Drosophila melanogaster: one gene and its partners. Changing the gene in region 1 together with any one later gene gives a genetic interaction. Each region holds a gene or a part of one and is shown on either strand. Other genes may lie near its edges. The genes, in order: tefu, aurA, Mekk1 and Top2.

Region 1 (7,213 bases):
GCGGTCCAATTTGAGCCAAGCACTTAAGGGAATCAATGCTAGTTGTCTTATTATGCGCATCCCGTGTCATCTGAATGAGCTTGTTAATAACCCCAAACAAAAGTTTTTCATGTTCTTGCACTTTGTCCTTGTGCTCGGCAATCTTTAAAAAAGATACATATTTTTAAGTTTTTTTAGAATATTAACTTATTACTCACATATGTCCTCAGATCGCGTAATCTTTCTGGCGTCGGACTTAACAGAAATGAGCGCAAATAATTGGCGACATCCGCCCTATCAATATTGGGTTGACTGGACTTGCAATCCTCTCGCAGAGGTTTAAGAAACTCGCAGTCCGTTGTCTCTTCCAAAAAGGAATTCAGGTTAATGTGGCCCTTTTTTGATTCCAAAATGTACATTACTATCGACATGGTCTTCTCTCTAACTTCTTTCGCTTCGCAGCATAGTTGAAAATTGCTCAATAGCTTAGCTATGTCTCCGAAGTGATTTTGGTAATCATCCAATCGGAAGTTGTGTTTGTTAAGCAAAAGTTCCAAAAATGTCAGAGCAGCCATTTGGACGCGGATGAACTTTGCTGAAATCGGGTAGCGTTAGGTAATGCGTAAGTTACTCTGTATATTTTTCACTTACTATGGATTAGAAGTCGCACCACAAAAAACCAAATATCACGAACAAAGAAGGAGCACTGGGTAACTATGGTTTCATTTTTTCTGGCTGCATCATAGACAGCATCTGCAACTTCACAGTAGAGGAAAAAGTCATGCAAGGCCTGACTAGAAAAAGAGGCCGAATAACAGTTGGTCTTTAAGCGTCCAAAAATATCGACCAGCACACGGGAATGTTTGGTTTGAAGCGTGGTCATGGACTGGATCCGACTGTCCATCGATGGCCTCATTTCAGGGTCCTAAACAAACAAGAGTTAGGCGACATATTTGTAATGTCTTTCCAAATACGTACAATGTGAAAGTTCAGACACTTAAAAAGCGATTCTCCACTCAGACTATACCAACTGGCTGTTCTGTTGCAGATCGCAAGGGAACCAAACAATCTCATCATTTCCTGCGGATCGTGCAGCATGCTTATCACATAGCAAAGAATATCCAAATCAAGATCAACATCTGTGGCATTCAGCTGAGAGTAACTGAGATTCTCCGACAATAGCTGGAGGTGTTCTTTAAAGTTCTGACCTTCGCTTTCGCTGCACGAGCTGTTTTTGATCAGTAGAAATGAAGCCAGTATCGGAAGGGCCAGCTAAAGAATAAATCTTGCAATTTATATATTTTTTAAAGAAAACTTCTACCGTACTTACCTCCTCGCTGATGGATTTACTGCACCGTTCTATATCCTCTGTTTTGCCATATAGAAAGGTATATGCCATAATTTCACTGGCGTGTGTTTTGCGGAATTCACTCTTCGTTGAATAGCACAGAAAATAGGGAAACCTTGATTTGTGAGATGTGAGTGTAACTTTCTTGGGATTGGTTAGTTAATCTCACTTGGAAATGGGCCAGCGCTTGGAGCTCCAATGATGAAGAAGAATGGCCGCAAATGGTCTGATAAGATCACGCACTGTTTGCCGATGGCAGGATGACATACTCTGCAGGGAAATAAACTCCCCTGGAATTGGATCATGGATCTTGTAACTGAAACTGCTACTACGGTGCTTACTCACTTTCAGTTAGCCTTCGCAAGGCACAATGATGCAGCAGCTCCTTCAGTGCTATCTCTTGGTGGAATGAGCTGCGCAAGAATATTGCAATTAACATTTGTACGATTAACGCATTGCTGTTTTGAATGGCATCCTCGTTGTTGTACTAAATAAGAAATAGCCATTAAAGTATAGCTAGGCATCCAGACTTCCGAATGCTTACCGTCAGTTTCTTAAACTCAATGCTCTCGTACAGCTCCTGGCAGAAGTCCCAGTGCGTCCGAGAATGACCAATGGCATCGCTAGTGACGCAATTCGATTCCAGCAGGATGGTGAATGTGAAGAGTGTGGCAAAGCGCACTTCTAACGTGGGCATGGTGATGAATTTCGCAGTGGACTTGCATATCACAGCAAAGTTCTCTAGAAGGTAAATGTCCGGACAACGCTGAGCAATCAATCCCACGCAGCGTACAATTTTCGCTGTTAAATTCGATGTGTACGACTTCTTAATGGCAATCCTTAAAAGGGAATTAAGGGCCATAAGCATGTCGTCCAAATGATTTTCTTTGTGCCTTACGAAGTAAAAAATGGCTGCAATGAAATGAATTGATTGCACTGTGTTTATTGTTCTATTATATATAAGCTCACTGGGCATATGTTGAACCACTTTGTCCATCAATTCCGCATCCTGATGATGCTGCTGGAAAAGCGTCTTCAATTTGCTCACTAACCAAGAGCTGGATGCTTCAGAAATCGTTTGGCAGCTGCATAACATCTTAAAGAGATTTCAAAATTATTTCTGTTTTGGTTACGATATAACTCCTACCTTGGTCACAATAAGCACATCCTGTGGATGCCAACGCATCGTTACCTTTACTATGTGCTCGAATGCTTCATCCCGGTGCGAATTGTACGCACAAAGACCAGCCAAAATATTAAGGCACAGACGCGTTATTGTTCCATGATCTGCATCTACAGATCGCTCCCTCTGCATGGCTAAAATATTCCACTCTTCAATTATTAAAGCGATACGTTAATTGAAAACTACATTACAATGCAACTTGAGAGCAGCGCCAACAAATTCCACCAACATTTCAATGGGTTGCCTTTCCAAATAATCGAGTAAGACTAAATTCGTCCTGAATACATCAAGTACATAGATTTCCAGACGTAAAATCTCTGGTAAATCGCTCTTATCTAAAATCTCAGCTCCGTTCGCCTTGAGCTGGAACTGAAATGGGTATTAGAAAACGAGTTTTTGAAAGATTATTCATTTGGCACCCACCTCAATGTGGCTGAGATATAGTCCAATTCTTTTTATAAGTGGACAGCCAGTATAGGTATCTGCATCGAAAACCTTGTAATGCAAAAGCCTTTCCATTGTGCAGATCAACTTTAATAGACTATTCAGGTTTTTTATTATTGCCGCCGGTTTGTTCTCCTTCGCGATCTCAAAGTTAAGGCCTCGCATTAGGCAATCATAATTGGATTGAATCAAACAATTCTTTGTTTCGCTCTGAATGTGAGTGATTGACTCAAAAGGAGTGGCGTAGTCCTTGTCAAAGCAAATAAGCTGTTCGTTGTACTTGTAGGCCAAAAGATTGCGTTCGGTGGAAGGAACAATGTGTTCTGATTGAGAGATCTGTCGCAATTGCTGGACATCCAAAAAATTTATAATGCTGATTGCAAAAGTATCCGCCTGCAACTGGGCATCAATACTGTCTATATTGTGTATCATCTGAGCGGCGATGAATCTATCCGCACTTCCGTATGCCCAAGCTATGATGGGTTCTAAGTCAGCGGACGCCTTATCTTGACCACATTTATCAGCATGGATGAAGATCTCTCGAATCGTCGCTAAGCATTCGTTGCGCTTTAGCATTTCATTCGAGATAATATTGTTAAGCAGCGTGCTGGACAACTTTTGATTTAGTTTATTGTGTCTGATCAGCATCTGCAGCACCAATTGCTTCTCCTTGATCTCCTCACTGTTTGTTGTTGTCTCTGATATGAGCTGGTTTGCCATTTGACTCCAAAGCTCACCCAGAAAATCCTCCCGAATAGATTTAGAGTGCAAAAGCTCCTGTTCTTTAGTCAAAAGATGAGCCAGGCATAACCGAAGGTTCCGGAGATTTTTCGCATTGCCGTACATTTGCATTATTTCCGCCACGGTGGTTAGCGCCATTTGGTAGTTGGCCACATTTAGGATCACGCTACTCAGCTGAAGTATCTCAGTGAATATCGCAAGCCAGACGTCGTTAAAGGTGTTTTCCTTTTTGTCGATCAGACTAAATATAGTTTCCATTTTATCTGCAGGCTTCGGGATCTTTTTCGGCGCATCGCCTTCCCCATTTTCATCAGCCTTTTTCGTCTCCAAGTGCCAAAGCACCTGCAAATAATAATATAATTAAAATTAAATATATTAAATATTACTAGCTTATGCGACGTACTATATACATAGCCAGGGCAGACATCTTGATGAAGGGGTCAGAAAATTTATTATTGCTCAGTAGTGCGTTCTTGCAGCGAGCCCAGGAATTCTTTCGGATCTCCACATTGACAATAGTTTTCAGCCGCAGTAAAGTTTGCGGCCACTTTTCATGAACAGGCACACCGAGTGTATTAAAGTCACACATATCCATTTTGAGATACATTGAATGGAGCGACTTTGAAACGCACTGAAAGAACAGATTTCTGGTGTCGTCCCGGAACGCATCCTCGTCATGATACTCGCATAGTTTAGGTAGAATCTCCTGCATGTGCACGTTCAATTGGTGATTGTAGTTGACAGCAAGCTGAAAGATTGTTGCAAAGTTTTTAACATTATCTAAAGATATAATAAGAGTCCTACCTCTGATGCAAATATTAAGTAGACGCGAACAATCTCAGTTTTTCTGGCTCCAAAAGCGGAGAGCGCAAAGCTGCTGAGCTCCGGCAGATATTCCACTAGATCCACGTGCAGCTGAACCCGGTCCTTGGCCAAACTGACGGTTCTTGTGATGCATTTCAGTATTCTGGTTCGCAAGACCTCGTCCATATCGACATTCAGTTCAAAAAGATAGGAGAGAATCCCTGTAATACATCATCAAATTAAAAAAAAGAGTCTCTTTTGGGCCAGAAAGTAACTTACTACTGTATTCGTTAATTTTAAGGTCGCGCACATAGCTGACCGATGAGTAAATGCCCTTTTCCAGCAGGCTCAGAATGCGGTCGCCAAAATACTTGACTACCACTCGCATCTTGATGCCATCCTCGAATGCACTAAATATGCTTGTTTTGGCCAGGAAATGCCCATTTCCGGAGGTCTGCGACCCCGCTGGAAATCACAGGTTAGCTTTAATAACGTGTTTAAGTGTTTAGGAGTTACCTTCCAAGTTGAATTGTGTGATCTTCTCGAGGACATTATCGTACAAGTAGTTTTTTCCCGCCAGCGTTTTGAATACTTTCTCGTTGACATCCTCCAGATTTCCAGCTTGCTATCATTAGGTTAACAATTAAAATGGAACTGATTGTTTAACGATAATGGCTAGGAACCTTAAAGAGAGCCTCCTTCGACGCTTCAAAGATTGTGGTCCAGGATATATCCGAAGTTTTGCTAAGAAACAACTTATCCAGATCCTCTCGGCAACTTGAGAGCTTTTCATCCAGCTGTTGGATGCCCTTGTTTCGGCTGGCTGCCTTCCCCGACTGAAGGTCCCCGAGTATCCGCTGGATTTCGTTTAGAAGTGCACTCATCCTGGCTGCCCGGCATAACCTGTTGTAATGTTGTATTAATTATTAAACTAAACATAAAATGATCTCTCAAAATGTACTTAGAGTGACCTCTGCCAGAGCGCCAAAAAATACCACGATCAATAAGAACAGCACTGTTGTTAAATGGCTGGGCAGCCGTGTGCGTCAAATAAGTGCCGATGGAGAACTAGAATAACCTTATATAACGAAAGATTTATAAATAAAAAAATCCCATGTTCCATATTCCACTGTTCCTTCATTAATTATTCCTATATTATGAATTATATTCATTAAGAAAGGAATAGGAAATGTGGTTTTTAAAGTAACAAGCTACGTTCAGCGCTTCTACTACATATTAGCCAATTTCTACGACTTTACAGTTTCGGTGTGAACGTTCTGCGTCAACATTTCTGGACTTCTGTGTGAAGCGCTTATTAGGGTGGCCAAGAATTTTGCGGTTACACCCCTGGGAATTTAGTACTAAAATTGTTGATGGCTTTGGTAACACTTTTGCTTGTATATAAAAGGCATTCGCAAATTTTGTACGGGTGTAATTCAGAAAAAAACGCCAGCCAGTTTGATCGAAGGTGCGGCAGATTAAAAGTGAAGTAGCAATTAAACGGTTATATTTTAGTACTTTCTAAGAAACAACACACAAGGTAAGCGTTTATTTACATTTTAGTATTTATTTCGTTGTTAAAAAAAGTGCGACCACCTCGATTAAGTTTGCCGGAAAATAATTTGAAATCAAACCACGTGTTTTTTGTAGCCCCTTTACTATTTAATCAATACTCTCAAAGAAGGCAAGGTTTCTCGAACTTTCGACCCCAGTGAGTAACGCTTCGATGCACACTTACATACATAATTGCAAAGGTGCATCATAGAGCGCCTATTAATTAGGCAAATTAAGATTCTAGAAACTTTGGAAGTTCTGACTAATTGCATATTGATGCCTAATGCTTGATTGTGATTATCTGGAATATTCCACTGGAAAACGTGCCGCTTCCCACTCACTGCAGTCACAGTCTACTTTCGGTTGAGTGAGTATGTGTGAGAGAAAACTTGCGTCATCCGTTGCGGGGTCTTGACATTGCTTGTGATTTTTATTGTTTCTGTTTCCAATAAATCAATGTCCAAGTTACTCATCGTAATTGGTAATTTATTTTGAGTGCCATTGCTCTTTTGCTGGAATATTCCAGCTTGGGAAAAATGTGAGGCTTCCCCCCCCCCCACACAACCACACAAAAATGCGTGCATGTCTGATCATTTAATTTTAATGCTATACTGCTATAGAAACATGTTGGATTCCCTTACATACAGTCAAGGCATATAAACATTGTTTATAAATAGAACTAACATTCATAAATTTATACATTATGCGGCCTTTTATTAAATATACTTAGCTAAAAAAAAACACGTTGCCAACCGGCATTCAAAGTGCGGGCACGTGTGTTTGTGAGCGGGTAAAACCAACACACGCAAAGCCGTCCCGGACACAGTGGTTGTCTCCCTCGCTCGCACATACGAATCACCCTCCAAAATGACCTGGCTTCAGCAGCGTGGTTTACATATATTTAAGTATATGCATGTGTGTGTGTGCTTGTGAGGGCGCGTGTGTTTGCGTTTTTAGCATTCCAGAATTTTCGCCTTTGTCCATGCGGTTTCTTCTCTTTTTTGCGCACTTTGCAGAAAAAGGTGGCAGCTGCTCGGTCGCCATTTATAATTCTCATCGATCCAGCATTGATCTTGCCATTTTCATGAATCGGTTGGCATTAGTCACCGTTCGTGATTCGCCGATTTTGGCAAGCCGTTTTAGATAAACATGCGGCATAA
Region 2 (6,671 bases), 3.3 Mb from region 1:
ATAAAAATAAAGTATAAAAAAATAATACAACTAAATTCATCGATAGGCAATCGCTACTATCGTTACGACGATACCATCGTACCAGCTCTAAAGCAAAACAAGAAGAAAAACCATTCTTTTTCTGCAAAGGAAATAGTTGCAATTTGTTGATTTACTAGCTTAAATCGAGTGTAAAATGAGTTCGGCTCGCTTCGCGCGCTCAGGGCGCGTCCGTATCTGCATCCTGATGAGCATGTTCATCGTGCTCATCATGATGATTGTTATCTACCAAATGTCCCAACACCAATTGGACGAGAGCCGCGCCTTCCAAGAGGGCCTCAGTGTCCAGATGCAATGTGGGTCTATTGTTTCTATCTTGTTTTGTCCATATGCCGACTGATTATGGTGATATCCACAGCCCTGAATGCCGAAAAACTTACCGCCGAGAAGAGAATGAGCGCGCTGCGCTCGGAAAAGATGACCCTGCAGGAGCAGTACGAGGGTCAGTTGGCGGAGGCACTGCAGAAGCAGCACGACACGGAACACGCACTGCAGGAGAAGTTCGACGCTCAGGTGGAAAAGTACAAGCTGCTGGAGATTAAGTACACCAACCTGGAGGCCGAGTTCGTCAAGAGCAAGAAGAAACACATCGAGGACACGAACGCTTTCGACCAAAAGCTGCAAAAGGTCCTGGCGGATCTTCATAAGGACAAGGCCAGCAAGGAGCGCGAGGTGGCTGCCTGGAAGGTATGCTTTTCTAATACATCCAAGTAAATTTCTTCACCATATCTACTTATGCTCCAGGAAAAGCTGGACAAGCTACAGCGCGATGGTGAGCACAAGATTCACGCCCTGGAAGCCACAATTGCGGAATTCAAGACCAACTGCAACTATGTACCTAAAGTCCAGCCCGCCGAGGCACCGGTCCAGGGACACCAGCAGCAACTGAATAAGCCCGCCGAGCAGATGCCCACCACGCACCACTCAAATCCTGCCCAGCTAGCGCACAGCATTGAAAAGCCCCGCAACGAGAAGTCCTTCGATGCCCAAGTGCAAGTGAGTGAAGGCCTCTACAGGATTGGCGGCGGGGTAAATCTGCTAGCAACTAACCCAAAACAAAACCTAACAAACGCGTCTACTAACTTCACACTTAAGAGTAACGGTGACGGAACCCAAGAGCAGCCGCAACTGCCTCTGCAGCCTTTTGCCGTGTCCAACAACCACAGCCTCATACTAAACTCTGTTGAAAACTTTCAGATTGTGCCCAAATCGGTCAGTGAGAAGCAACAGCAGGAGGAGCCGCAACTATCCGGCGGTCCTGTTTCCCCGTTAAGTGCACCCCGCAAGAGCAGCACCCAAGCCTCAGTGGGCAGCGCTTCGGACAAGAAAGCCGGTGATGCCCCCAACGCATCTGTAGCCCCAAAAGTTAGTAGCAGCGGCCTTCCCCCGCTTGCAGTGCCACCAGCGAAGACTGAGCGCAAACTTCCCGAAAACGTGGCTCCCATTCCCGAGAACTTTGAAGACAAAGCGGATACTAAGGGCGACGCTGTCGATGTAGACAACGCCGCCGAAGACCTGCCGAAGAACGAGAACAACAATCGTTACGCCAACGCAGTAAATGATATGGAGGGCAACAAAAATGTAGGCGTAGCTCCCAAACCCATCGAGGATTCGGGCGCTCACGAAGTTAAGGATGCGTTAAACGAGCCTAGCTTTAATTTGCCCGCCGCTGGTGGCGGCCAGAATTTCTTCGATGGCGAATTGCCGGCACCTGGTCCCGGACCCGTTCCCGATGAAACGGCCAAACAGATGGCCGAGGCAGCCGGTGCCGGAGGAGGTGGCGACGGAGATGACGACGACGATGTGGGTGATGTGGCCGTGAAACAGCCACAGCATTTGCTCGATACAGACAATCTAAACAACGAAATCGTTGCTGACCAGGGTAAGGAGTTCGCCGAAGGCATCCACCTGGAAGACGGCATGGATGAAGATCAAGATGGTGAGTGGAAGTGCTCACAAATCGGAATAAATGCTTAACACTTTAACTTAAATTGCAGAGGACGACTATTCCAATGGTGGTGCAGCACGCAAGAAGGGAGGCGAGGTTATTAGACACTAAGTAAGATAATTTTCTATTAATATTGAGCGGCAAGTGTGCAAAGGCTTAGAAACCCCTTTATATTAAAGCCGTGCTCGGTAAGCCATAGATTCTAGGGTTAATCATAACGAAATGTCGCAAATCGATCATTGAAATTTGTACGTTAATTGAAGATTATAAATCAAAATCTATCCTGGCTTGAGCACGCCCTAAGCTATTTAGTTTGTAAGTTAAGTTCAACGTCATGACTACCATCATTTCGTTAATAGCAAATGAAGAACAAGAAATTAAAACTCGCAGGAAATACAATACTCTGAGATGGAGCTACGAACAAATGCAGACAGATTTAAAATGAAGACTGTTTCAGTTCTGCCTTGCAAATTATTAGTCCCGAATTAGCAGTAATCGAAATCGTTGCTAAATCCTTACAAGTTTCATTAACAAATATACTCTATATACTTGGTTTTCTGTGATAAAAATAAACGCTGCGCTGCATTTGGGCAATGTTGCCTGTTTTTTTTGTCGCTGCCTACACGTTTCACTTCTGCATTTGCAATTCCGTCAACCCATTTCGCTAGAGATTAGGTAGCTACATAAGATAGGAGTGTACGCTAGCATTCGAAAACACACACAAACTTTATTGCTAATGATAATAATAAACTTAATTGATAAATGTTAATTTCTCGTATCTATATAAATGAAAATTTATGATGCCATAATTAAATTACGCGGGGAGCCCTAAACTAAAAATGTAATTAAAAGGAATTAACTGAAAATTAAACAAGAATGTGTTCACTGCGTGTGCGCCAGGATCCAAGGATGCACCATCACCTGATCCAGCGGTAGGCGGTGCTGCGGATTAAGGACCAGCAGCTTGGAAATGAGATGGGATGCTGCCTTGGAAATGTGCTCCGGCAGTTTGTAGTCCACCTTGAGAATCTTCTTGTAGGTCTCGTCATAGTTCTTCGAGTAGAAGGGAGCGTGGCCCACTAGCAGCTCAAAGCAGAGCACACCCAGGCTCCATAGATCCACGTTTTTCGTGTGCGGCTTGCCCTGAACCATTTCGGGTGGCAAGTAGTCGACAGTGCCGCACAGTGTCATGCGCATGGAGTTCGGCTCGTGCACGGACCAACCGAAGTCGGCGATCTTCAGGACGCCCTTGTGCCCGAGCAGCAAGTTCTCCGGCTTGATGTCCCTGTGTATGATGTCCCGCTCATGCAGATAGAGCAGCGCCGAGCACAACGCCTGAATATAGGTGGCCGACTGGCGTTCATCGAAACGTTTCATCGGCTGTGCCTGCAAGGCGTTGAAAAGCGTTCCTTGTGGCGCATACTCCAAGATCAGATATATGCGCACGTCGTCGTGAAAGTAGGCATACAGACGCAGGATATGCGGATGACGTAGGTGCGATTGTATCTCGATCTCACGACGCACCTGGTGCTCCACATTGGACTCGCCAATCTGGCGCTTAAAGAGCACTTTTAGGGCCACCACGAACTGGGATTCCTTTTCCCGCGCCAAATAAACGTTGCCAAACTTGCCCCGTCCCAGCAGGCGACCAATATCAAAGTTGTTGAGCTCCCAGGTCTTCTTCGGCTTCTGGGGCTGGGTTTCTGCAGAAAATTACAATTGAGTTTGGTAATTGCAAAAGATTACAGCTGAACCATTAACCCACCAGTCTTGGTTTTCTCTTTTTCAGCGGAGCTGCTGGCCGCACCCAGTTCCTTGGAGGATTCAGAGCTCGCAGCAGTGGGTTTCTGCTTGGAAAGTGACTCAGGCTTCTTGATAGGTGCTACTGGAGCCGGAGCAGCAAACTCTGATGTGGTCTTCTTCACGGACGGCACCATGGGTTTTTGGAAGTTGTTTCCTTCGGAGGAAGCTATGGAATTGGAGCCTCCTAGGCCTGGCTTCCTGATCAAAGCGCCAGAGGATCCTGGCAAGGGTTTGCTAGCTGGAGCCATATTCTCGCTGTTGGGCTGTATCACAATGGTACCAAATAAGAGTTTCAGCTGCACTCCAGAGATTTACCACTTAACGTACCTTCTTTCCCAATAGCAAGTTCTTTTGCATATTGTGCACTGCAGCTGATTTTTCTGGCATTCTGTGCGGAGCATTTTCCTTGGGACGCAGCACATGGTCAGACGGATGGGACATGACGGCACAGGCACTCGACAACTAACAGAACAGATTACAATTTTGGTCAGTTAACAATGAAAGCCGATATTGGGTAAAACATTCACGACTCCCGGGATCCTGTGAAAATAAAATGCCGTTCGTTTGAATTGTGAAGCGGGCGTGTGCGTGATGAGGCGAATGGCAAGTGTGCGATACTATCGGTTGGTTGAAGAATATCGTGACTTTGTAGTGTTAGAAAATGTTATATTGTGTATTATTTCAATTTGAAATCAAGAGAATTATTGAATAGTGCTCTAAACTTTGGCATTTATGTTATTTTAACCTTAATTTCTATCTCTATACAAATACATCTATCAAAGCGTCTTAATTTTGAAAATATGTTAATTCGTCGCACTTTATTTTGATTAACCGGACGATAGACTATCGGAAGATATTTATAAATATCGTTAATTGTGTACATCTCAATTCCAATATTTTTTATTTCTGGTGACTGTGAACCAGAACAGCTGTGATTTTATCGGGCATCTCTGAACATCAGGTGTTATTAACAAGCAAAGTTTTTATTGGAATTCGTCGTTTATGATATGATGCCGAATCATGGACACACCGGAGATCCACGTAAATATAAGCTCGCAGACTTGCCGCGTCTGCCTGGAGACGCACGAGACCAATCTGTATGTCCACGATGAAATCAAATACAACGACCTTAAGTTGGAGCTCTGGCAGTTGTTGGAGGCAGTTTCCAAATTGAAGGTAAAGAGCTACAATTTCAAGAAACTTCGAAAAATAAGTTCAATTATTTCCAGTGGACATGGACGGACCCAAATCTGCCTATGCATCTGTGTCAAAATTGCGCCCGCCGGCTGATCGGCGCCTATGAGTTCATCGTCGAAGTGGAAAACGCCCATGAAACTTTACAGAATCTCTTCGAGCAACAGGAAGTTGCTGCCAAGCCGGATGAAGTTCATGTGGATGTCGTGGAGCTTATAGACCAAGACGATGTGGTCAGTATGGCACAATACCTGTCCACGTCTTTTGCCGAACAGCACGTGGAAATGGAGGAGAAGTATGGAGACCAAGACTGTTCAGCTTTTACTTCAGATGTGGGCGAAGAGCCACTCTATGCGAGCGAGGATCGTGATGATGAGCCTGAAGACTCCTTTCAGCTGAAGCCTCGGCCAGATGAAATAGAAAACAGAGAATTGTCGCGACCTTCCCAGCTGGGCAGTCGTTTGAACCATTCGGCGAACTTCATCTACAAGTGCGCCGTCTGTCCGCGTGTCTTTGCCAAAAGTGAATCTCTGACTCGTCATTTTTCCCAAGCCCACAAACTGACAGCGGACGTGGCCGCCATGAAGCTGGCCAACGAGAGCTGCGGCACCGGTCTGCTAACCTGTGAGCACTGTCCGCGGACATTCAAGCGTCAGGACACACTCCGGCGACACATGCAGGCATTCCATCCCGACGCAATCGCATTGGAACCCGAAGAAACGACGGACAATTCCGCCCGAAAACGCATAGCTAAGCGGCGAGACTGTCCGCACTGTGGCCTGAGCTTTCCCGTATCTAGCCTTACCATCCACATTCGGCGACATACGGGCGATAATCCGTACAAGTGCGATCAATGCGAGAAGGCCTTTCCGCGCAGCCAAGATCTTAGTCTTCACATGCGTCAGCACACCGGCGAGCGTCCCAGTGAGTGCAAGATCTGCTCCAAGAAGTTTATTTCGCAGAACAAGCTGGCGCGACACATGCGATTGCACACGGGTCAAAGGCCGTACTCCTGCAAAATGTGCAGCAAGAGCTTTGTGCAGTCCAACGACCTTAAGATCCATATGCGGCGCCACACGGGCGAGCGACCATATCAGTGTGGAGTGTGCGGCGAGAGCTTTGTGTGCGGTTCGCACCTGAATATCCATCGTAACCGAAAGGGACATCTGATTGCTGTGATTCCGGGCAATGAAGTAGAGGCAAATTTTGCTGCTGATCCTTATGTAAATGCTAGGGTCAACCAGCGCCGTTCGGAGGATATAGAGCGTATGCGCCTGCAACGCATTCCCGAAAACCAATTGCAACAGAGACTGGAAAATCTCCCCAAACCGGATGTCCCGGCTATGTGCTACAAATGCGGTGTCTGCGAACAGAAATTCAAAAGTGGAGCTCTCCTGACCGTCCATCGCAATAAAATGAGCCATTATGAGATCGAAAGGGTCTACGAAAATCCGTTCGGAAAAAATCAGAAAATCATCAAAGCCGAATATAATTAAAATGTATTACTAGCTAAAGAAATCATCACTAATATAGAATGTAGAATGAACCCATGTATATTAGATACTAATTGTATCGTAAGACTTTCAAAAGTCTACAAAACATTAAATGACAAGTTGACTTTAAATTTCAAATAAATAATTTATTTTTTCTATAAGCAATAACATTTTTGCTAAATTAAGACTTGGTA
Region 3 (7,066 bases), 3.5 Mb from region 1:
GGGCAATCACTGTTTGCGCAGTCCAATAGCTCCAAAACCGGCACTAATCAGCGAGTCGCAGCGAGACGAGAGAGAACCTTGGAGAGTGCAATCCTCTTTTTTACTCTCAACTGGCTGGTTGATAATGCCGCTGTTTTAAACTTTGCTTAATCGCCGCAATCGAGGGCTAGTGTTACTTTCAGAGTCTCCGGTGGGTGCCCGAGCCAGATTTATGCACATCTAATTGCACCGCACCATACACCACTACAACCCACTCTGGGGACAAAAAACAAACAGCGGCGGAACGATCTGAGAGCAAATAAAAAGCGACAGCTCACAATTAAAAGCTGGTAGAGCTGGAGAGAACTTTAGACGCGAGCCAGCGAACGATGACTGGACTGGCCTGGGGGCTGGATGACCGATCCGCGGTATGCGACTGCCGATTCCCTTCTCGGATCGATGGAATCTTTACTGGTGGGGTGGGTTATGGGTTATGCACTATCTCCCACCGTAGTAGTGTGTAGTTTTCTGGCTGGTTTTCTGGTTTATCACGACGAATTGCAAACAGGCGGCAGTAGTTCGCACGCCTCGCACCGAACCCTTTCGAATTTCATAACGCGCAGCACTTGTCGCGGCAGCCAGTCAGTCAATTTATTAGCACTTTTAACAAGAATATTCCCCATCTATTCGCCAATGCGTACAGTATACGGTTTTGTATGTAGCGCAAGCGAGTGTGTGCCGCGGTGCCGACGAAGCGGTGTCGCCCCCAAACCGACTGCTATTCACTGCCAATCGCGGCGAACTGAAAAGAGCGAGCGACGACCGCCCGACCGACGCATCCGATTGTTTACGGCCCTCAGCGGAGAGCAACTAGTGGGTGGCCACTTCAAATCGGGGATGCCGGTTTAGCTATTAAATAGTTATGTTTAACATTTACCAGTGGTCATTTCAGTCAGAAACTACTGGAGTGTGGCACAGAAAGTGTAAAAGTATGCATAACATATTAAATATAAATTGTGAAGCCTACGGTTTACAATAAATACAATACCTGCCACTATAAACTATAGCCATTTGTGTATGGTATCTCAGAGAGAGGAGACGCAATAAGATGAGCAACAGAGGTATGGAAACTAAGAGCACAAGAAAGAGAGACACACCACCGTGATACGGTTTGTTGTGGAACGCAAAGGGGTATTCGATCGTTTCTGGAGCGCATTGCGTTTGTTTGTGGTTCGCAATTGTCTTAGCCGCGAGAATATTTATTATTAATTTATGGCATTTTATTATGTACCCGCTTGTTGGCTAATAAGCAATGTGTTTACTTAAGCTTTTGAGTGTAGGTATTTTTCTACAAACGGTCAGAATATGAAAATCGATTCAAATCAAGTCAATCAACTTCATTGGCTCTATATGAAAATCTTTGGTCACGTGACCAGCGGTGCGTATACTTCATATTTATAGATACACATAAAAGTTGCACATTCGCACCGTGGTCCCCATTTATGTATGAAGCATTGGAAATTCGATGACTAAGCGATCAATTTATCAGATCGACTGATAGGACGAGTTCGTCCAAAACAAAGTGAGTTGTAATAAGAAACAGACAATCAGACACCCAATCAAGATTATTAAATGTAAACAAATGTTAATATGCAACCATAGTTTTTAGTTTTATCTTTCAATGCTTCTTAAAGTAAAGTAAAAAGTTAAAAATGTAAAATAGTAATCAAATGGATTTTGAGAGGTTTTCAATTTTTAAATAAATGGAAATAACAAATCATACACAATCTGTGAATCTCATGTTTATGCTGTTTTCTTCTGTAAACATGGCATTTAAAAACACATTAGAAACTTCTAAAATTAGTGCAAACGGCAGTGGCACGTGTGTGTGTGGGCGCGTGCGTGTGTAATATGCGGAAATGTTTTCTGATATGTGTGTACAATTATGCTTATCAAACATACGAAAGCCCCAAAATTATAACCAACTGAACTGAGGTCTAGAACGTGGAGCAAAAGAGAGAGAGAGAGAAAGATAACCTGCAAGTTCAAGTACAAATACGAATGTTGCAAGAGCGCGAGCTCCCGCTCTCTTCACCAAAGCCAACAACAGTTAGGCCAGAGACCTTCAATCATCGGAATTCCATTCAGTTAGCCAGGTGACAACCACAAAACATTATGGACGGAGATATGAGAAGAAAGCGAATTCGATTTGAAAACAGAATAACGAAAGAGGTTACAAAGCAGAGTGGGCAAACGCACGTATTAAACGCGTTTTAACTTCCAATAGTCTCCCCTCCGTCTCTTCTTCTTCTTCCCTCCCCCCTAAAACAGGTATACCAGCTGAAGAAGAACAAGATTGGCGGCATCAAATGAGAACAATGCTTACAGATGTCCGAACTACCGATTACCCTATAAATGCTGTTTAAACCTTTAAAGTCAAAAACTTTTTCGTAACCTTTCCTAAAGAATCACTGCTTGTATCTTAGCATATACGATGCTTTAATAAAAAAAAAAACATATGTAATATTATATCTATACGTTGCCATTTTTCCAGCGAACCAATCAACTTATCAATTAACAGGTATTAAAATATAGAGACCAACGAAAAAAAGAGCGAGCAGCAGACACATAAATCTCGGCTAATTTCACTTAGTTGCCATAGAAACAGGTGCCAAAAGAAAATGGATGTTTGTCGCAAATTTCCTGCTAACATACGACAATCATGTTTTCCCGCAAAACGATGAACACTCACCTATCCCATAAAAATCAAATCAAAAAAATGAAGTGTATTATGAATAAGCCCCTGCGCATAAGACACAAAAAAAAAAAACAGCGGAAAACGTATCCGTAATTCTCTCAAGGTGAGCGTGTGTATGTGTTATCAGTCCACCGTCAGCGTTATCAGCAAATATCTTGGAAGACTTGAGGCGGCCCCACACAAAAATATGACTATGATAAATGCCGAAATACTACGAAAAACGACGCAGAGCGAATATAACATGCATTATAAAGAAACTTAGTTTTTGTAATGTAATACCTAGCAATTATTGCTTTTTTATTTGAACACATTAAAATCAGTTTAAAATATTTATGAAGGGTGCTCTCTTGTAAGTGAGAAAACTTGTTGATCACTGAAAACAATCGTTACTGTTACATAAAGGAGCGTTTAGACTTCAAGATTTGGTTTCAATCTCAATCTACTAAAATTTCCACAAAAATTTCTAAATATATTACGTGTTCGACGAGTATGCGTTACACAAATGTGATCCAATTTTTGCAGTGCACCTGTGCAGAATTTTAATTGCGCTGCACACAAAGTGTTTAATTTCAGGCAGAATTCGCAATTTGTTGCTGTTCATTTTTTGTGCCTGTCTTGCAGTTCGCTAAATTCTGGGGTTCGTTGAGCCACCCAGGCCAACAACAAGATAACGTGGTCAAAAAACACGTTGTTTACGTTTAAACAATTAAAACTGGTGAAATGCACAGCGAGAGAGAAGAAATGCGAGAGCGAATGAGAGGGAAACCCCGCAAATATGGCTTTGAGAGCAGAGCCGCGACAGAGATATGTTAAAAGAGGGGGAGAGGAAATGGGAAAGAGAGCGCTTGTTAGTTACGTGCCAATGCAGACTTTCTTGTTTCTGTTTGTGTTGGGAAAAGCCCAGCAATTCGAAAACCGCTGGTGTGCTCTGCTCACCTTGCAACATCCTCCTCGACGCTCTGCTCGCGTCGTAATCGTATGGGCGGAATGGGCGGGATGGGTGGTGTGGGTGGCGTTTCAGCTGTAACGGTACTATGATGCCCATTGCCATTCTCCTCCTCCCTTGCCACCTGCTCCTCTGCATTTGTTGTTGCTGCCGGTGTCTTTTGCAAACGCAAACTCTGCTGCAGCGCCAGATAATCAATTGTTCGCACTCTTCGCCTGTTTGACATTTTTGCAAAACTCTGTTTTTTCTGCTTTTGTTATATTCTTGGAATTTGCTGCTCACACGCACACATGCTCAGCCAGCCGCCAGTGCACAAACACTATCGCAATCCAGCACCAACACACACTTGCACTTTAGTAAGCACGCGCCGCGTTTTTATTTTTCTTTTTGTTTTGCCTTTGGCGATAATCAGATTTATTTTAATTTAACTTTCACGGCGAGCAAACACATAACGTTTAACGCGCTCCCGAACTTGGCACGCAGGTAAGCACTTTGTCGTACGTCTTACCGGGCCAAAAAAAGCAGCTAACTAAAGTCTTCGAGCCACTCAAGTCGCCCGGCGTTTTTGAAGAGTGAAAAAAGAGAGAGCTTTAGAGGTGGCAAAGAAGCGATAATCAAACTGGGACTTTTCGTTCAACAATTGGTTAAAAGCTTAAACTTAGCAGAGTATTTCGAAGAGTTAAATTTTTGCTTAGACTTTGCTCTTAAATTTCTTTTAACAAAATTGGTAAACACATTGAGGACATCTGAAAATAATAATTAAACAAATTGCAACTTTTTTCAACAAAGTTCGAAATACATTCTTGAAAATAGCTAAAAACATTGGTCTATCCGATTATTTCTGCCTCTCCAAAGCGGTAAACCATCGTTAGGCGTCCATCACTATTCACAGATGGGCGGGATATTTAATTTTGAACGCATGATTATTATCAGCACCAAAAATTATTAAAACTAAATGAAAGTACATATAGATAGTACAAATATTTATAACATATGCACTTGATTCTAAAATGATGATCCCCCTGGTGATTAGAACACAGCGTGGTATTTTTCCTTCTGCATGCCCTCGATTCTCTTTATTATTTAACAAACTTTAGCGTGTGTACAAAATCAACAATTACCAGCAATAGAAACACTTGCCCAGGGCAAAGATTAAACACGAATTATAAAACTAAATTAACTACCTGGGATATGGGGCTTAACAAAGAACGAAAAAAATTAAACTACTATATCGAAGAGCCTAGAAGAAATTCCTGAATATGCGAACGACGGCCTGGACCCATCGCGGAACGGGTCGTTGGACGATTTCCCGCTCCGCCGTCTGTGACAGATCGTACAGCCGGTCAGCTTCCGCCTGCAGCCGCTGGCTTAGATCCTTATTAGCCGTCACAAGGCACACCTGTGTCTCCAGATCGCGGTTCACCGATCGCTCGCCAAAGTTCGAAGAGCCGATCAGCGTGAGGTTTGGCAGTATTGCCTCTGGCAGGTAGTACCACAGTCCTTTAGCATGGTACGTCCAGCCGGGCTTTTCGTACTCGAAGAAGTTAACGCGGTGGTTTTGCTTCCGGCGGACCAGGCTCTCGTAGAAACTCTTGGCTATCAGTGTGTAGGCAGCCGGAATTCCGCCCGCTGGTCCTTTGGCACCCTGAAAGCCGTTTGCCTGGAAAATGAATTAAATCGGGTTACTATTGGTCAACTAATTACTGATAGCCACTCACATTTGGATGAGCCATCAGTATGCTGCATTGGGCCAGGCACTTGTGCGTGAGCGTGTCCATGTACTCCTGCGTCAGGTTGAAGTACCCGGTGGCCAGTTTCAGCCGTGATCCAGACAAGCAGTTGGAGAGCAGCCGCTTGGTCACCACGCTGTCGTGATGAATGCCGATCTGGCCCATCTCAAGCAGCGGAAAAATCCATGTGTCTGCCTGCGGATTCTGCTCTTTAGTTCGCGCCTGCCGCTGAAACGTCTCCTGCACTAAATCGGAAATACGTTTACGGGCAAGCTGGATAAACTGCTCCTTGGTGCCCTCGTACGGCAGTATTCGCCAGTTGCGGTGCAGTCCCTCGCTGGCATCTGGCGCCACTGCCAAACTAAACTCTTGAACGCGTTCGATGAACTGCGCATAGAAATCCGCCAACGGTTTGTCCTCAATGAGTATGTATCGATCCTGCCGGTTGGTGAAGTAGTCATTGGACAGATTGGCGCCTGATATGATCACGGCATCGTCGAACAGGTAGACCTTCATGTGCTGTAGTCCGAGAAGCTCATTCCACCGTGGCGGTGCTAGTCGCTTTGTCATCCCGCGCAGATCAGGCGTATGGTACAGGGATAGCTGCACCTGGCTCGCAAAGTCGCGGACCAGGGGTAGCAACATGGTCTTGGAGTTGAGGGTTCCCCGCGTGCCGCGTGTAAAGTCCAACAGCACGTTGAGCCTCAGGGCAGACTGTTGCTCCAGGCTGTGACGCAACGTCTGAACCATTGCGTTCTCCAGTTGCCCAGTGCCCAGGTACAAACTGGCCAGCACTATACGGCGTTTGGCCTGACCGATTCGTTGCACCAGCGTTTCGTAGAAGTGCTTTGGCTCGTGGATGACCTGAATTTGATCGCCTCGCAGCGGGAAGCACGGCGCTAGGTTGTGTAACCAACTTAGGCTCTCCAGTGCGGGTGCTCCAGGGAATCCGGTGGCCAGGACACTGGGCGCCTGCTGCAAGCAGCCCAGAAAATCGCCCTGAGCAGCCGGAGAGAGCTCCTGGCTGAAAAGGCGGCGAAGGTATGGCATCATCTTGGCGGGGATTTCTCTGACGGATTGGCAAGCGGATCCTCACTCTGGGCGGCTGCTATTTGATGACAGGGTATGGCGCATTGCTCACTGTCTGTTTGGCTGTATCCGGAACACACTTTCATTCATGGAGTGCTGTTTTATCACAAAAAAAACTTCGAATTTCAGCACGTAAATAAATTCCAGGTGGAACGCAAGTGTTGCAAAGCGAGCTGGGATTCGATAACAATTTATAGCTATCGGGAATTATCGACTGTTCATAATGGTGATGGTGATATGGTGATCCTGCTATGTGTTTCTTAAAAAAAAATAATATTTAAATCAAATTAATAAAAGCCTAACCATTTATCAATAGTTACTAACTGTTACATTTTTAACATTTTTGTGTATATCTACTTTTATATATATGCATAAAGAAATATTTGAATAAATTTACTTGAAATATTCAACCGGTATCTTACTAATATGCATTTCTTTTTGGTAATATTTAATTTTAGTTTAAAAAATCGTTTAATTTTAAACTGCAATAACATCGATGTTGTCAAATTTCTAGAAACATCGATAATACTAAGAATCGAATTAGTTTCACCTCTAGTTCAGGTC
Region 4 (10,477 bases), on another chromosome or scaffold:
GCGGCATCCACTGCTGGTCGTCTAAAAAAAGCCCAAACTATAGATACAATGTGGCCATAAGGGGGTGGTGCATTGATAAGCGCTTTTCACTCGCGCAAAATGTAAATAAAAATAAATCCAGTTGAGAATAGCGCAATATGACTGTTCCCGATTGTTTCGTTGTTAGCAACATTTCGCCACCCGTATTGACATTTAAATTTCAGAGAGATTTGGCATGTCACTGCTGGATGAATTTCTCGTTGTTACCATTTATGGGCTGTGATCCGCTCGACTCCAAGTGTGAAACTGAGCCCCCGATCGGAACCAGAATCGGGCCAAGTGGTGACAGTCCCAGGCGAAATGCTGTTTTACTTGTCGCTAAACATGTACGAGTGTGTATGCGACCATTAAATATTAACTAGAAACCGAACAACAATGAACATTGCGATAGCGCGAAGGAGACAGCCGATGAGTGATAACAGTGTGTCACTGAGCTCGAGCTAAATTTAGTGAATCTGCTGTACTTAATTGATGGAGCGGGAATCCACAAGAATTATAAACAATATAGTATAAGTAAAGTGTTGTGCAATTACTCAGTTTTGGCTGCACTTAGTTTTTAGAAACATTGCCTTTGGGTTGGTTGTTTCCAGCAATCAATACATTAGGTAGGTACACTTTCAAAACAATGTATGCAAAATGAAATCATTAAAATTTTTAAAATCATTTAAAATATATTAATATAATATAATAATATATATATATATAATATAAATATATACTAATTGGGGGTTAGTACCGATTGTTACATTGCTAGCTTAATCTTGGAATTGCATAGTGTTCAGCATCAGCCCCAAAATATGTGCTCTTGTTAGGTGTACCTCGACCTGGCCTTGGCCGGATTTCCCAATTCCTATCCCTACACCCCAAAACGCAGAGCCAGACCCAAACTTGCCCCCAGTGAACCCCGCGATTGTAGAGGAGCCACTGCCTGATAAGGCATTATCCGCCGCGTTCCCAGTTCGCCAATGGCTAATCGGGTCGCTTGGGGTCTGTGCGGTGCAGCGTTGTGTGAGTTCGACGCGTATTTGGCAGATACTGTGAGATGATGCCACCGCGATCTCAAAGTGCAGCACACACAAATTTCACACGTGGTGGCCGTGCAAAGTGCCTGGGTCAATATTTAATCATATTCAACAAATTCCAACTAATTACACATTATGCACTTTTAAGTACGCCTGATTGCAGTGCTTAAGTCCCAGCACATACATACTCGTAGTTCGGTTCAAGTGTTAATGAACTCGCCATTGTTGTCGTTAATTGTCTACATGGATTTGATAATCCCAAGATAATCACAATAATAGTGCCCCCCATTAGGGTGTTTGATAATAAGCGATTATTTCACAGCCCCACCTGCACCTTTAAACACCTGTTTAAATCGCCCCATTAGCTCGGGGTCTTCACTTTCATTACCAGGTAATAATCCAATCCGAGTGGCGGTTACTGTTTCTGGTCACGGTTTCTATTTTTTCCAGCTTGCAGTACGGGGAATCCGACTTAACGAAGATCGCACACAAGTGGCATCGCAGAAGCTTGGAATGAAACTGAGCTGGGGATCGCTTAGAACAGAAGATTTTATGAACACAAGTCTCAATGGAAAAAGTCGAGAAAAAGCGCAGCACTTATGACTATAAACCAGTATGCGAGAACGAGAAACCAGCATCTGAAAATAGGGAGAGCCAGCTCGATGAAACGACGATGCAAACACCCTTAAAAACGCAATTAAGTAAAATTTGTTGATTAACAATACATATACATACAATTTATTCAAAAAAAAAAAAAAGAAACTAATTGCTAATTGTAGTACTTATGTTTATCTTTTTATCTTACCAAATCTTAGGAGTTTTAGCTCACATCTTGTTCAACTTGCTAATAGTATCCTGGAATAAACTGCACTTAACTCCGCTAGTTCACAATTTTCCCATGCATCAGCTGAAATTCCCAATTTGGCAGGGTACAAACTGCACTCCGCATATTGAGAGATCTTTGCTGATGCTTGTCAAACGAGAATCAACAGATTTGGAGGAGTAGAGAATATTTCTGGACGATATTCGATGCTGTGCAAGTTCAATGAGCTCCGGTGACGTCACTGCGTGAAGGGTTCTCCATTACCCAAGCAGAAATTCCGAGTAACTCGGATGAATCCAGAATCTTTATATTTTGTTTGCACTATTCAAAACATGTTTCTGAGCCGGAATGAAAATCGCAACGGGATGGGGAGGGACATGCCCCTTTATGACGTCGTGTTGGGCAAGGTCAGGCAAAATGGCAGAAAGAAAACCAGTTCTCTTGTAGCCATGGTCTTGGCTTTGGAATATTCATATTACCAGGTGGTTAATTGAAAAGCAATCTTCACTTCAACGGTGCGAAATTTAATTGCACAAATGCAACTTTAGCAGCAATTTTTCATTTCATTTCATTTTAAGTAATTGCTGTATATCACATTGATGTGGGATACAATACTAAGCATATGAAAGGATAAATTTCTTAATGGTTTTACTTTGTCTTAAATTTTTGATAATTTGCATTTAGATCGAAATATTTTATCTTTTTTACATTTATTTCAATGCCGATTTATAATGTAAAAAATAGAAGAAATGTTAGTTGGAATAATTAAAACCCCTACTTTCGACTCGAAAAAGAATTTAACCCCAAAAATGTTATTATTATTTATTACCTTCGAATTTTTTAGAATTAACTGTTGCTTAACTCATCACGTGATTGAGATAGAACTAAAAAACCGTGATTTTGGCGATCACGCTTTTAGCGGAGTCACCGACCGCAGTTACTAGTTTAGCCCTGTTCACAATGAGCGTATGCACCAACCCAAACAACACTGTTATGGGACTTATCGATAGCGATTTCATTCAAACATCGATTTGTGCGCCTTGCCAGCTCTAAAACCAGCAATACTTCTCATTTGTTGTCGGTTGTGAAAAGTTGTTAAATGTGCTGTGCGTATTTTAATAGTTAGTTGAGAACTGTACAAGTTTTAGCTAAAGGCAGCAGACGCGTGGGGCACGTACAAGTCGAAAATTGTAGTGCACCGCCTCGTGTATCGCCTGCAACATAGAGTTTTGCCGCACTTCGGTTGTCGGCGGCAGCAAGAAAAGGCCACAAATACTTGGCAATTTTTTAACCAGGTAAGCAGAAAGTGCTGAATCATAATCGTAGAATTGGCTGTACCGTAGAACCTAAGAGCCCTGTCTAATTAATCCTTTAATATGATGGATATAGCAATTTTTCGGTGGCGTCGCTTGCAAATTAAAAATGGCGATACCGGTATAGACATTTAGCTAATTTTGGGCCTTTAAAAACCATAGTTTTTTGATTTTGTAGCGCGGAGCGCGTATGTAGGCCTGAATTTGTTTACTATAAAGTGAAACCCCTCGAAGAACCTTAATAAGAAATAATAAATAGCGGTGACTACCGGCAAACGCCAATAAACACGCACACTCACGCAACAGACGGCGCACGCCAAGCGTTGCCGCCAAAGAGACAGGGCTGTTATGTATTTCAAAGTGTGCTGAAAATCTGTTCCCAGTACAGTAGCACCAGGCAAAATAATACTTAGTTTGACGTTTTTCAATTTATCTGCAGTTATTTCTGTTTGACGTACCCAACCATTTCCCATGTTGGCCAAGTCCCATTCCATTGCAGCGTTTGTCTGGACGGCATTTACGCAATGCGCGGGCGCGCGTTTTGTTTTTTTTTTTCACCGTGGGTACAGTGCGCATTCATTAATAAAAAATTGTTGAACAGCAGCATCAGCAGCATTGGCATCACATGCCAACGCACAACCATCCCCGTTATTAAGAGGCCATTAAACATATTGGGTGCCATCTATCTTATTTGGTATTATAACAATTAAAAAAAAAACGTGAACATAATATTACTAATATACTAATAGCAACTGTTAACTGGGTGGGTACTGTAGTCTTCTGCTAGTAGCTTTGGTTTTTTTTTTACTTAGTAGAACGCAGGACGAGTGATTAATAGTAGCTAAGGCAATGGCTCGGAATATTAGTTATTAATATTAATATTACATTAACAAATGCCTTTTGCTTACTCTTTGAAGATTCAGCTAAAGCACAGCGACAGAAGCATCATGGAGAACGGAAACAAGGCCCTGTCCATCGAACAGATGTACCAGAAGAAGTCGCAGCTGGAGCACATCCTGCTGCGACCCGACTCGTACATCGGATCCGTGGAGTTCACCAAGGAGCTGATGTGGGTGTATGACAACTCCCAAAACCGCATGGTGCAGAAGGAGATCTCTTTCGTGCCCGGCCTCTACAAGATATTCGACGAGATTCTTGTGAATGCGGCAGATAACAAGCAGCGAGACAAGAGCATGAACACCATTAAGATCGACATCGATCCGGAGCGCAATATGGTGTCCGTGTGGAACAACGGCCAGGGCATTCCGGTGACCATGCACAAGGAGCAGAAGATGTACGTTCCAACGATGATCTTTGGTCATCTGCTGACCTCGTCGAACTACAACGACGATGAGAAGAAGGTCACTGGCGGCAGGAACGGATACGGAGCGAAGCTCTGCAACATATTCTCCACCAGCTTCACCGTTGAGACTGCCACGAGGGAATACAAGAAAAGTTTCAAGCAGACTTGGGGAAACAACATGGGAAAAGCCTCCGATGTGCAGGTAAGGAAATAACATTTCTTATTTTAGACCATCATCTAATGTTCAGTAAACCCACAGATCAAGGACTTCAATGGCACTGACTACACACGCATCACATTCAGTCCCGATCTGGCCAAGTTCAAGATGGACCGTCTCGATGAAGATATTGTGGCTCTAATGTCGCGTCGCGCCTACGATGTGGCCGCCTCATCCAAGGGAGTATCCGTCTTCTTAAACGGCAACAAACTGGGTGTACGCAACTTCAAGGACTATATTGATTTGCACATCAAGAACACGGACGACGATTCTGGCCCACCGATCAAGATAGTCCACGAGGTTGCCAACGAGCGTTGGGAGGTGGCTTGCTGTCCTTCAGATCGAGGCTTCCAACAGGTCTCGTTTGTCAACTCGATAGCTACCTACAAGGGCGGTCGGCATGTGGACCATGTGGTAGACAATCTCATTAAGCAGCTGCTCGAGGTTCTGAAGAAAAAGAACAAAGGTACGTTTAACTTAAAATGTGTATTTTCTTAAACAACAACTAATATTTGCTTTGAACCTCTTCCAGGTGGCATCAACATCAAGCCATTCCAGGTCCGAAACCATCTGTGGGTTTTTGTCAACTGCTTGATAGAGAACCCCACTTTCGACTCGCAGACCAAGGAGAACATGACTCTGCAACAAAAGGGCTTCGGTTCCAAGTGTACCCTCTCGGAAAAGTTCATCAACAACATGTCCAAGTCTGGCATCGTGGAGTCTGTGCTGGCATGGGCCAAGTTCAAGGCCCAAAATGACATTGCCAAGACGGGCGGTCGCAAGTCAAGCAAGATCAAGGGCATTCCCAAGCTGGAGGACGCTAACGAGGCGGGTGGAAAGAACTCGATTAAATGCACCCTCATCCTCACCGAGGGAGACTCAGCCAAGTCATTGGCCGTATCCGGTTTGGGCGTGATCGGACGAGATCTCTACGGCGTGTTCCCGCTTAGGGGTAAACTTCTAAATGTGCGGGAAGCTAATTTCAAGCAGCTTTCGGAGAATGCCGAAATCAACAATTTATGCAAGATAATTGGCTTGCAATACAAAAAGAAGTACCTCACTGAGGACGATCTAAAAACTCTGCGCTATGGCAAAGTGATGATCATGACAGATCAGGATCAGGATGGCTCCCACATCAAGGGTCTCTTGATCAACTTTATCCACACCAATTGGCCAGAGCTTCTGCGTCTGCCCTTCCTCGAGGAGTTCATTACACCAATTGTGAAGGCAACCAAGAAAAACGAGGAGCTGTCATTCTACTCGCTACCCGAATTCGAGGAGTGGAAAAATGATACAGCTAATCACCATACGTACAATATAAAGTACTATAAGGGTTTGGGTACTTCGACCTCCAAGGAGGCGAAAGAGTATTTTCAAGACATGGATCGCCATCGCATCTTATTTAAGTACGATGGATCGGTGGATGATGAGAGCATTGTTATGGCCTTCTCCAAGAAGCACATCGAGTCGCGAAAGGTATGGCTTACCAACCACATGGACGAGGTGAAGCGTCGCAAGGAGCTCGGTTTGCCAGAGCGATATCTCTACACCAAGGGCACCAAGAGCATCACCTATGCAGACTTTATCAATCTGGAGTTGGTGCTGTTCTCGAATGCTGACAATGAGCGCTCCATTCCTAGTCTGGTGGATGGCTTGAAGCCGGGTCAGCGGAAGGTGATGTTCACTTGCTTCAAGAGGAATGACAAGCGTGAGGTGAAGGTGGCCCAGCTATCCGGATCAGTGGCGGAGATGTCAGCCTATCACCACGGAGAGGTATCCCTACAGATGACAATCGTGAATCTGGCTCAGAATTTTGTGGGTGCCAACAACATTAATCTGCTTGAGCCACGCGGTCAATTTGGTACCCGCTTGTCGGGAGGCAAAGATTGCGCCAGCGCTCGTTACATTTTCACTATAATGTCTCCCTTGACGCGACTCATCTACCATCCTTTGGACGATCCACTTTTGGATTACCAGGTGGACGATGGCCAAAAGATCGAGCCACTATGGTATCTGCCCATCATACCGATGGTATTGGTAAACGGAGCCGAGGGCATAGGAACTGGATGGTCCACGAAGATATCCAACTACAATCCTCGTGAGATTATGAAAAATCTAAGGAAGATGATAAACGGACAAGAGCCAAGTGTGATGCATCCGTGGTACAAGAACTTTTTAGGACGCATGGAGTATGTTTCGGATGGTCGTTATATTCAGACTGGTAACATTCAAATTTTGTCCGGAAACCGTTTAGAAATCAGTGAACTCCCTGTGGGCGTATGGACGCAAAACTACAAGGAAAATGTCCTGGAGCCTTTATCAAACGGCACCGAAAAGGTTAAGGGTATTATTTCCGAGTACAGGGAGTATCATACAGACACCACCGTTCGCTTTGTGATCAGTTTCGCACCTGGAGAATTTGAGCGCATTCATGCAGAAGAAGGTGGTTTCTACCGAGTGTTCAAACTTACCACGACGCTGTCCACCAACCAGATGCATGCGTTCGACCAGAACAACTGTCTGCGACGCTTCCCCACCGCGATCGATATCCTTAAAGAGTATTACAAACTGCGACGAGAGTACTACGCCCGCCGGAGGGACTTTTTGGTCGGCCAGCTCACGGCGCAGGCTGATCGCCTCAGTGATCAGGCGCGCTTTATTCTCGAAAAGTGTGAGAAGAAGCTGGTGGTGGAGAACAAGCAGCGCAAGGCCATGTGTGATGAGTTGTTGAAGCGTGGATATCGTCCCGATCCCGTCAAGGAGTGGCAGCGCCGCATTAAAATGGAGGATGCCGAGCAAGCTGACGAAGAGGACGAAGAAGAAGAGGAGGCAGCTCCCAGTGTCAGCTCAAAGGCTAAGAAGGAAAAGGAAGTCGATCCGGAAAAGGCCTTTAAGAAACTAACTGATGTCAAAAAGTTTGACTACCTTCTGGGTATGTCCATGTGGATGTTGACAGAGGAGAAGAAAAACGAGCTACTCAAACAGCGCGACACTAAACTGTCCGAGTTGGAAAGTCTGCGCAAGAAGACGCCGGAGATGCTTTGGCTGGATGATTTGGATGCCCTCGAATCGAAGTTAAATGAAGTAGAGGAGAAGGAGCGCGCAGAAGAGCAGGGGATCAATCTCAAGACCGCGAAGGCTTTGAAGGGCCAGAAGTCGGCCTCAGCTAAGGGCAGAAAGGTTAAGTCAATGGGAGGCGGAGCGGGTGCCGGAGACGTATTCCCAGATCCCGATGGAGAACCCGTCGAGTTTAAGATCACCGAAGAAATCATTAAGAAAATGGCAGCGGCTGCCAAGGTAGCTCAGGCGGCTAAGGAGCCGAAGAAACCCAAAGAGCCCAAGGAGCCAAAAGTGAAGAAGGAACCGAAGGGCAAGCAGATTAAAGCCGAACCTGATGCCAGCGGCGATGAGGTGGACGAATTTGATGCAATGGTCGAGGGCGGCTCTAAGACCTCACCCAAGGCCAAGAAGGCGGTTGTCAAGAAGGAGCCGGGAGAAAAAAAGCCGCGCCAAAAGAAGGAGAACGGCGGCGGGCTCAAGCAGAGCAAGATTGACTTCAGCAAGGCCAAGGTAAGTGTTTCAGTAATTGCCCATATTTGTTTTTAAACCCAAATCTGTATTTAATTGTCAATTAATATTTTTCATCTTTAGGCGAAAAAGAGCGACGATGACGTGGAGGAAGTAACTCCTCGTGCAGAGCGTCCTGGACGTCGACAGGCCAGTAAGAAGATAGACTACAGCTCGCTCTTCTCGGATGAGGAGGAAGACGGTGGCAACGTTGGCTCTGATGATGATGGCAATGCCAGCGATGATGATTCGCCCAAGCGTCCAGCTAAGCGTGGACGAGAGGATGAGAGCAGTGGAGGAGCCAAAAAGAAAGCTCCGCCCAAGAAGAGGCGAGCTGTAATTGAAAGCGATGATGATGATATCGAGATTGATGAAGATGATGATGATGATTCTGATTTTAATTGTTAAGGAACACATTTCCACACAGGATATTGATAGAAGATGGACTCTTAGAATCAGCATTATCCGCATCGAGAATCTCGAGGAGGCACTTTTTTTTGCGGACTTGCTCGCCACGATCGTTCGTTATTTTATAATCTTTCAATGTTCTCCTCGATGTTAACGTCAATGTTTTATAATTCGTGTTTTTATTAACTATAGATAAACACTTCGCTACATTCGTTCACTGTAGCTGATTCTGTTCCAGAGCAGCAAGAAAGCCACCAAGAGGAATTTACAAACGTAATATCGATGTATTAACATGTTCCATAAAGATAGTTTGTAGTCTCATACGAGTTTTCTTCATGTAAATAAATCACTTTTGCCGAATGGCTAATACATTAAATTTCGATTGGTTTTTTGGGTAAAAAAAAAACACCACTACGGGTTAGGAATAATACGTTTTTATTCGCGAAAGCTACACAAATCGGAAAGTGGGAAATAAAGGTAATCTCTTCTCTAATTCTCTTTACGACTCCGCACCCTCCAGGAAAGTCTTAAAGGAATTCTTAATGTTGTCGTTGGCAAACGTTGGTTGCTTGAGAGCCTCGCGAAGAGCAAATCGACAGTTCTTGACATCGTAGTCCGAATGGAATACCTCCTTGCAGGGCAACAAACGGAGCTGCATCAGTACATAGTTGAGTACACGTGTCTCCTGCTTTGTCTTGATGGCATAGTCAAAGGTGGCCTGGTACAAGGAGACGGCCAGATCCAACGCAGCTTTCGAGGATTGCGACAAATGCGCGCACTTCAAGGTGGTGAAGACGAGCAGTAGCAAATGGTTGTCGCCGGTGAATTGCTGTACAAAAATGTTACGTTACTCTAATTGCATTCTAATTATTGAGAATATCTTACGTTGACAATCGACTGCAAAGCCTCAAGTTTGTTATCCATATCTAGCGAATCGAAATCTTCCTGGGAGCAGGGTTTCTGGCTCAAACAGAACTTCTCTGGAGTGCATTTTTGGCTGATCGTCTTGTTCGCGACCGCAAAAGTTTCGCTGGCCATCGAGTTGGTTGTGTCGTTAAAAAGCTGTGAAAATTTAAAATTAAAGATAATTCGATTAATTGCTGTTACCATTTGCACAGTACTCCGAAGTATAAACTAACCTTGGTCGTGTAGGCATTCGTAGTGACATAGGCAGTCTCCTCCGCGACGTTGCTGTACTCCTCGTCTCCCTCGTCTTCCTCGTCGTCCTCGTCGCCCTCGCTATCCTCATCTGCTTCTTCGGTAGTATCGTTGGCGTGCTCGTGTACTTCCTCTTCCTCTTCGTAATCTGCGTCCTGCTTGTCAGCCTGGTATTCATCTTCCAAATCCTCCTCTTCCTGGTGCTGAAACGGTTGCAGTGCGGCAGCAGTTGGCAACTTACTCATCTCGCTGATTATCTTCTCGCTGCCTTCTTCTCCAAAGCTATTGCCATCTAGATTCAAGATGCGTAGCTTGGGCTTGTTTCCCATAGCATTCACCAACACCAAGCCGCCGTCGCTGTTGATTTCGTTAAAACCTAAGTCGATAACTTCCAGTCGTTCGTTTCCTCTCTCCAGAGCCTCACCGAAGTGGTAGGCGCCATTAGTTTTGATCAGGCAGTCTCCAAAGCTCATTTCACGCAGCCTGCAAAGCAAAAAGATATCACATAACACTCACTCACTCTCCCTCATCAAAAACTTTATAACCGACTCACAGTGGCAAGAAGGGAAGAGCCTCAGCTATTTTTTCAGCTCCCTCGGACTTTAGAGTATTGTCGTTCATGTTTAG

The links.
Region 2: of tefu (region 1) and aurA, changing one suppresses a phenotype caused by changing the other (phenotypic suppression), as found in Drosophila melanogaster (one study listed by BioGRID).
Region 3: of tefu (region 1) and Mekk1, changing one enhances a phenotype caused by changing the other (phenotypic enhancement), as found in Drosophila melanogaster (one study listed by BioGRID).
Region 4: of tefu (region 1) and Top2, changing one enhances a phenotype caused by changing the other (phenotypic enhancement), as found in Drosophila melanogaster (one study listed by BioGRID).

Annotation. Positions count from the first base shown.
Region 1 is NT_033777.3:15,236,761-15,243,973, forward strand, and holds the start of tefu (telomere fusion), read right to left. Parts: upstream 5,477-7,213; 5' UTR 5,461-5,476; intron 5,403-5,460; 5' UTR 5,384-5,402; coding exon 5,183-5,383; intron 5,125-5,182; coding exon 5,016-5,124; intron 4,965-5,015; coding exon 4,779-4,964; intron 4,721-4,778; coding exon 4,500-4,720; intron 4,444-4,499; coding exon 4,099-4,443; intron 4,038-4,098; coding exon 2,934-4,037; intron 2,880-2,933; coding exon 2,702-2,879; intron 2,645-2,701; coding exon 2,475-2,644; intron 2,424-2,474; coding exon 2,297-2,423; intron 2,240-2,296; coding exon 1,872-2,239; intron 1,815-1,871; coding exon 1,673-1,814; intron 1,618-1,672; coding exon 1,497-1,617; intron 1,443-1,496; coding exon 1,310-1,442; intron 1,252-1,309; coding exon 958-1,251; intron 905-957; coding exon 631-904; intron 575-630; coding exon 198-574; intron 143-197; coding exon 1-142. UniProt on the Drosophila melanogaster protein: Serine/threonine-protein kinase which recognizes the substrate consensus sequence [ST]-Q. Required to suppress spontaneous apoptosis of proliferating cells during development, and for their proper differentiation. Required for female fertility.
Region 2 is NT_033777.3:11,960,852-11,967,522, reverse strand, and holds aurA (aurora A), read right to left. Parts: upstream 4,400-6,671; 5' UTR 4,232-4,399; coding exon 4,118-4,231; intron 4,054-4,117; coding exon 3,753-4,053; intron 3,691-3,752; coding exon 2,870-3,690; 3' UTR 2,697-2,869; downstream 1-2,696. Other genes in the region: CG12213 (uncharacterized protein), read left to right, coding at 176-335, 398-726, 784-1,978, 2,037-2,098; CG3281 (uncharacterized protein), read left to right, coding at 4,811-4,966, 5,020-6,480.
Region 3 is NT_033777.3:18,739,328-18,746,393, forward strand, and holds the start of Mekk1 (Mekk1), read right to left. Parts: upstream 4,268-7,066; 5' UTR 3,910-4,267; coding exon 3,674-3,909; intron 770-3,673; exon of another isoform or gene 1-769. Other genes in the region: PGS1 (phosphatidylglycerophosphate synthase 1), read right to left, coding at 4,924-5,343, 5,402-6,466.
Region 4 is NT_033779.5:19,445,953-19,456,429, reverse strand, and holds Top2 (topoisomerase 2), read left to right. Parts: upstream 1-2,939; 5' UTR 2,940-3,179; intron 3,180-3,636; 5' UTR 3,637-3,891; intron 3,892-4,114; 5' UTR 4,115-4,144; coding exon 4,145-4,702; intron 4,703-4,759; coding exon 4,760-5,183; intron 5,184-5,249; coding exon 5,250-8,287; intron 8,288-8,368; coding exon 8,369-8,692; 3' UTR 8,693-9,065; downstream 9,066-10,477. Other genes in the region: CG10026 (uncharacterized protein), read right to left, coding at 1-21, 247-249; RanGAP (Ran GTPase activating protein), read right to left, coding at 9,192-9,521, 9,578-9,754, 9,832-10,333, 10,404-10,477. UniProt on the Drosophila melanogaster protein: Control of topological states of DNA by transient breakage and subsequent rejoining of DNA strands. Topoisomerase II makes double-strand breaks. Essential during mitosis and meiosis for proper segregation of daughter chromosomes.